Drosophila melanogaster: one gene and its partner. The protein of the gene in region 1 interacts with the protein of each later gene in a pairwise test. Each region holds a gene or a part of one and is shown in the gene's direction. Other genes may lie near its edges.

What was found.
Region 2: the proteins of vir-1 (region 1) and Ugt302C1 interact in a two-hybrid assay, tested with the Drosophila melanogaster proteins (one large-scale study listed by BioGRID).

The regions. Positions count from the first base shown.
Region 1 is NT_033779.5:12,421,313-12,425,071, reverse strand, and holds the start of vir-1 (virus-induced RNA 1), read left to right. Parts: upstream 1-1,632; 5' UTR 1,633-1,749; intron 1,750-3,209; exon of another isoform or gene 3,210-3,242; 5' UTR 3,243-3,367; coding exon 3,368-3,431; intron 3,432-3,759. Other genes in the region: Fam92, read right to left, coding at 1-134.
Region 2 is NT_033777.3:11,155,155-11,158,913, forward strand, and holds the start of Ugt302C1 (UDP-glycosyltransferase family 302 member C1), read left to right. Parts: upstream 1-1,943; 5' UTR 1,944-2,086; coding exon 2,087-2,339; intron 2,340-2,923; coding exon 2,924-3,183; intron 3,184-3,252; coding exon 3,253-3,759. Other genes in the region: Ugt302E1 (UDP-glycosyltransferase family 302 member E1), read left to right, coding at 38-1,359.

The DNA.
Region 1 (3,759 bases):
ATTTTCCGCGTTACCAAAGCAAACGAAGAGCACATCTCCATTAGATGCCTTTCTGTTATGTTTATGCGCTCGTTTATTATTTTAACACGGTCATCTTTGGTGTTTAGAAAGGATAGTTTTCCACGACGAAACATTATTATTTTATTTTAGTCCCTTATATTTGTTTTCCTTCTTTATTTATTTTATTTCGACAATAAAATCAAGTGAAAACCGTTACCAAGGCAACGTCTAAATTCATCTGGCAACTCTCGTTCGAACAGCCAGCATATTTCCAGCTCTGTAAAATTAACAGAAATGTTAAGAACCTACTGCTGCCAGGTGGCGCTAGTATCAGCGTCTTCTGCAAGTACATAGATGGCGCAAGAATAAAGTTTATCAAGGAAATTTAAAACATTCTAAAAATATTCAATCCTAAAATAAATATCTGAATATGGGTACTTCATTTTTTTCCAACAGTGTCAAGGTCAAGAGCACGTTTCGTTATAATCTGTGAGTGTTTCTGTCTGTCATCCGGTGTCTAAATTTAAATTCGAAAGATTTATGACTAATTAAGAGACTGCAAATGATAAAGAAAAATATATATAATTAGTATATATAAAAAAATAGAAAATATACTACGATATTTACCTGAAGATCATAGCATTGTAAATAGTTTATTTAAAAACAAGTCAATCTGATATTTTAAAATATCGTTGGTCCTAAAAGCCAAGCTTTACTCACTTAAATATATGTAGGACTAAGCTGACTCAAATTCTTCTCACTTCGAAGCCTTGACAACCAAATCTTGTTTTTTGGGGAATTTATTGACTCGACCGCAAGAATGTTGTGTCAACGATTAACCGAAAATGGTAATTTATTTTAAATGCTCCTCTGCCACTTAAAGGCATAGTGCAATCAAACCTGTATTTAGTAAAACGAAAATAGCAGTTCGAATAAAACCAACGAAAGTGTAGTTAAAACAGAATCCGGTTCGTGGGACCACGACAAGAATTACAAGTTGTAGAGCATGAAGAGCAGCCTGCAGGAGATTTTAACAGCTGTAGCTGCGCCGATCGCGATTTCAATCTGGTCGAAAACCATAAAGCAACACGGCTCCCAAGAGGCAAGTTCAGGTAAAAGGGGGCAGGTGGACTTCATTGTCAATCCAAGAACGTAGCTTGGCGCGCGTTCCTTGTCGCTAACTATATCCCCGCCTCTTTCTCGGCGCTGTCGGCCATCCGCTTTGAATTTCTGATTTTTATACATACACCTCGAACTCCAACGGTTTTGGTCAAGGGACTGCACTGGAGGACATTCGCGTTCCGCTGGCGACATTCATTTTTGCTCCCACTGACGTGTCAATGAATATTCTTTTTGTAAAATTTCTGCTACTTTTTGGGTAAACAGGATGGGGCATCTTTGGTAGTGGATCTGTTGTAAAAATATAAAATTGAAAGTTCTTTAGTTATTTTTCTTTTTTTTTTTTAATTAAAACATTGTTGAATGCACATTTGGAGCACTCGGAAGACCCTTCTTCGCTCTCGTATTCTTCTCTGCGCATTCCTCCCTTTCCCGGTCTCTCTTCTCAATTCTTTGTTTTTTTTTGAGTGCCAACGACGTGAGCTGGTATAAATGAAGCCAAAATCGTACGCAACCGTTTAGTCCGAAACGTTTCATTAAAGCCAACGCACGTTGAAGATCGCGCGTTCTTCTCCGATCTTTCGAAATCGAGTGATTCAAGCGATCCACAGAAATAACTGTATGACACCGGTAACAATAATAAAATTTATGCAAATTCGCGGTTGTCGGCATGTGTATGTGAATGAAATTGTGTGCGTGAACAATTTCCGCTTCGGCGCTGACAAAAATGTTTACAAACAAACAATTTGCAGCTTGTTTAGGCTGTCTGGGCAATAATTTGGATGCCTAATTTACTTCACGCAGCTGTTTGCGAAATATTTACTTGTGCTCACTTTTATGCTGAGCCCAACATAAACAATAGCTTTCTAAAACTATCAGACATTAAAAATGCTATTTAAAGTTTATAGTTGCTAATTTTGAAGACCTTGAAAAATTTACTGTCGGGCAAGATATTTAAATAATTTTCTGATGTGCAAAAATTCCAGTTCATTTTGAGATTATAATACATTCTAGATTTAAATCAGTGTATAATTATACAAATTCTTTACGGCTTTTTATATTTATCAGAACTGTAATTGGGTGTTATATCGTAAGTTCTCTCGGGTCAAAAAGATCATTCATAATCGGATTAACTAAAGATTTCCAATAAATTGCCGATCTTTGGCATATTCGTTAGTAAAATCGTGATTAAACCCGGCTCAATCAAGGCGTGACTACTTTATCGATGGAATTAAAAAGAAGCACTCTATCATAACCATTTAATTACTGAGAATAGTCTTTAGCTCCGTTTTCATTTCCTTGGAAGAAAATTCTCAATAGCTGCCCATTAGGGAAATAAGCAAATGATGCTTTTGTTTACAGAAACAACAACCTTGAACTAAACACCAAGCGCATTTAACAGGTGATTCGAGCAGCCGTTGAATAGACATAGTTCCATACAATGCAATCGAAGTGGAATTGAAATACGAATGGGGCGACTGAAACATTCAGCAACTGTGACAGGGACACATTTAAAGTCTGAAATACAAATATAGTGGAATAGAGAAGCCCGCGTGCAGCTAACGAAGCATAGACAAAAACTGATTAAGTAAATTGAAAACACAACTAAATTTACAAAAGGTTCAATGAGCAACGGCGACTTTCAAACACCCTTTTAATCGAAATTTTAAAATATTAGTAGCAAATGCCCTTTTAGAACTGCTTTTATATATATATAATTATAAAGATAAAGTTATATTATATTATATTTTTTATAGTAGTAGATACAATAGTTAATGAACCAGTAAGCTATAACGGAAACAAAAAGGTGTAACGAAAATAAAAGTTAACTTAAATGTGCCTAAGAACATTACTAATACGCTGCATTCTGTACACAGTGGAGTCCCCAAATATTGTACCCAGTTGACGGGCACAGTGTAGCGCTCTTCCCACAACACTTGCCGCCTGCCATTTGGAATATTTATAAGCCCAGCGGCTAATTGAGTGAGAGGGAGAGCAAGAGAGCGGTCAGCTAGTCACTCACTCGGTTTCTCACTCGCTCACTCACTCAGCCGGCCGCCGTTTATTTGCCGCTTCCTCAAATCATTTAAGCGCATTTGACGATTGTTTGTCTTTCCGCACAGAACAAAACTGAACAGAATCGAATCCGGTTGCCGGTCCACATCAACGCATCAAAGCTTTCAGCCCTAAATAAACTATACAAATTAAACAAATTATAAGCTTGTGAAAAAAAAAAAACCAAACAAAAATGAAGCTCTTGTTCGGTTTGCTGATGACCGTGCTAGCCCTTAGCGGCGTTTTCACATTGCCAGGTAAGTGAAAGGCTTAAAAGCAATCCAATCATGATGCACTTCATAAATTAACATTTAAATGATTAATACTTGAAAACTAAATGTTAACTTGCCCTAAGTAATACGTATAACGGAACTAACTAATATGCAATTTGTACACATATGCAACATACATATTTGTTTTCCTTCTCTTTACTTTCTCATTTTTATGTGCACATAATTAGTTATTAAAAAACACAGTCAACCTTTTGACTTTAAAAACAAAGAAAATTGATAAGCACCGGGAATTCTGATTTGCACTCTTCTACGTAGTACGTTCCTCTTATACCTTCTTGATCTGGAATATTCT
Region 2 (3,759 bases), on another chromosome or scaffold:
TATATTTGTTATTTAAATGCATTCTTTTCTCCCGTAGTTTACAAAGCGCGAATTCTGGAGAATGCCAAAAAGCCGGTTCTATTGCGATATCCAAGAATCAGTTTAATGGGCTTGGATATAACAGAAAGTCTTTTAAAGGAGCCGAAAGTACAGGAGCTATTAAAACAAAACCGCACATTCGATGGAGTAATCTGTGAGACTTTCATGAATGACGCCCACTACGGTTTTGCAGAACATTTCGGAGCTCCACTGATCACTCTGAGCAGCTTGGGTGCCACTGGTTGGACCTCTGATCTGGTGGGCACACCCTCGCCACCATCGTATGTGCCACACTCATTGCTGCGGTTCGGGGATCGCATGAATTTCTGGGAAAGGGCTCAGAATTTGGGATTCCAGATATACGAATTTGCCTATGAGAATTTGATTAATCTACCAAGACATGAAGCACTGTACCGAAAGTATTTCCCTAACAACAAACAGGACTTTTATAGGATGCGCAAGGATACGTCATTGGTGCTACTTAACAATCATGTATCGATCAGCAATCCACGGCCCTATTCGCCAAACATGATCGAAGTGGGCGGAATGCACGTGAATCGAAAGGCACCAAAGCCACTGCCCCAAAATATTCGCAAATTCATCGAAGAAGCCGAGCATGGGGTTATCTATTTTTCATTGGGCTCCAATCTGAACAGCAAAGATTTACCGGAGAACAAGCGAAAGGCCATTGTGGAGACGCTAAGGGGACTCAAGTACCGAGTTATTTGGAAGTACGAGGAGGAAACCTTTGTCGACAAACCGGATAATGTTCTCATATCGAACTGGTTACCGCAGGACGATATCCTGGCACACGAAAAAGTGATTGCCTTTATAACCCATGGAGGACTTTTGAGCACAATGGAATCGATTTACCATGGCAAGCCCGTCGTGGGTATTCCCTTCTTTGGCGATCAGTTCATGAATATGGCAAGAGCCGAGCAAATGGGCTATGGCATCACGGTGAAGTATGCCCAACTAACGGCTTCACTATTCCGATCCGCCATCGAAAGGATTACTAGTGATCCTAGCTTCACGGAAAGGGTTAAGGTGATATCCAGTCAATATCGGGACCAAAAGGAGACTCCACTGGAACGAGCTGTTTATTGGGTGGAGCATGTGACTCGGCATAAAGGAGCCAAGTACCTGAGAAGTGCCTGCCAGGATCTGAACTTCATCCAATACCACAATCTGGATGTTCTGGCGACATTCTTTTCGGTCATTGGATTGACCGTTATTTTCGTCTTTCTATTAGTTCGGTTTTTAGTTACTATTGTAAACGGCTTTCTATATAAACCTAGTTCGAAGCTAAAAATTAACTAGTTTATATATAAATATTTTTTTAGTACAAAACTAAGCTATATAGAATATTATCTTTTTTAAGTATATTGGATTTTTTCGGTGGACTTAAATACAAATAATTTTTTACATAATACATCAAACTATTATTAAATTTTATGGTGGCTTAATAATTATCTCAAATTTTGATCTCAAACAAAAATTCGCAACGTGCATTTTCTAAAATACCTCGCATAGTTTTCTTTATCAACAACAAATATTGTTTGAATCAGAATTCTACACCAACCATGCATCAGAAAGAGAACCAAAGTGAAAAACAAAACAAAATATTGCTCCCCACCAAAAAAGCCGGTGTGAAAACAAAGCGAAGGAGAATCCGAGAATAAAACCTATCCAAAACTGATAATATATGCGAGAGAGCCTCTCCACTTTGTAGAGATATTGACACTCGATCGTGAATAGCGTACAAAATATTGAGATTTGGCACTGTAACGATGACGAAGAAGAGAGGGCGTGAGAATAGAAGAGCAGAGCAGAGCACACTCTCCAAATCTGATTGGGACCTAACCCAACCACTTATAATTACCTCATCGCAGTCCCATGTTAACTCAGTTTACTGCGAGGCGTCGAGGCGTTCGTAGCCCCCATTTAGTATCAGTTTCACGGTCGTTGGTCGTTAAGAACGCATTTCACAACTGGCAACAATTAAGCCAAATTAATTGTATTGAATTCGCAGTTTTCGAAACTAACGATGAAACCAACAGCTGGCCAAACGGGTTTTCTGGCCCTACTGCTGTTCTGCCTGCTGAGCTGCGTGTCTGCCTACAACTACCTGGTGGTGCTCCATACCGCCGCACGATCCCATTACCATGTGGGATCTGCCCTGGCCAAGGGATTAGCCGCTGCGGGACATCAGGTGACCATCATCTCCCCCTTCGAGCTGAAGAAACCCATCAAGAACATCAAAGATGTTCCGGCCAAGAGCATTCTGACTTCCATGCAGGGTATGTTTAACGACCGAAATTATTAATAACATTATTACACAATCTAATGGGGAATTCGGTAAGACTACAGACACTGTGTCTGAAATTAATAATTATTGAATGGAATCTAAAGTTTGAACAATGAACTTCCATTATAATTCAAGAACACAGTCGTATCATATTATTAGTGTGATTAATATAACATAAATTATTTCTGTTATTTTGCAATGGTGACAACATTTAAAGACTTTTAAAATGTGAATTTGTAAAATATGGCCTATGGTGTAAACCGGTTGGGTTACATCAAATATTTATTTGTTGACAAATGGAGTTTTCTGGTTTACTTATGCATTACATAACTAAATGAATTCAGCTTATTAGCTTAACTTTCAAAGTCATTTCATTTTTACCTCAAGAAGTTGCACCAATAAAAATGAGTTAAGTTCGATTCGATAAGCCTAGCTAACAATTGCTTCTGATAACGTCCATGGTTTCTAAGCACTTAAGGGTTTTAAAATAACCTAACCTAATACCAATTTTGTATGACATGACATGTTCTCTTTGTTAGAAAGACACGCGTTTTAATACACTTTAATTTATTTTAGGAAGAATTGCTAACCTTTTGCAAAGCTCAAAGGAGCCCATAATCAAGCAGATCATTAACTTTCACGAAATGGGTATTGAAATAACCGAATTGCTGCTGAAGGAACCATCTGTGATAGAACTGATGAAATCCAACCAGACCTTCGATGCCGTAATATCCGAGGTGTTCCTGAACGAAGCTCACTTCGGATTCGCCGAGCATTTCAAGGCTCCACTTATAGGACTGGGCACCTTTGGAGCTATTAGCTGGAACACCGATCTGGTGGGTGATTATTTGCCATAGTGACTAAGAGGATTTCCATAATTTATATATTCTTACCTTTTATTTTAGGTGGGATCTCCTTCACCGCCCTCGTATGTTCCCAGTGCACTGCTGAAGTTTAGTGACCGCATGTCCCTCGTAGAGCGAGTGGGCAACCAGGCCTTCCTCACCTACGAATATATCTTCCTCAACTACTTCTATCTGCCGCGCCAGGAGGTCCTCTACCGCAAGTACTTCCCCAATAACAAGCAGGACTTTTACGATATGCGCAAGAACACGGCTCTGGTGCTGCTCAATCAACATGTATCGCTCAGTTTTCCACGACCCTACTCACCCAATATGATCGAGGTGGGCGGCATGCACATCAATCGAAAGCGCCAGCCGCTGCCCAAGGACATTCTGGAGTTCATTGAGGGTGCCGAGCATGGAGTTATCTACTTCTCGATGGGCTCCAATCTGAAGAGCAAAACACTGCCGTTGGAAAAACGCCAGGCGCTGATCGACACCTTTGCCCAGCTGAAGCAGCGTGTGCTGTGGAAGTTCGAGGACACGGATCTGCCCGGAAAGCCCGCCAAT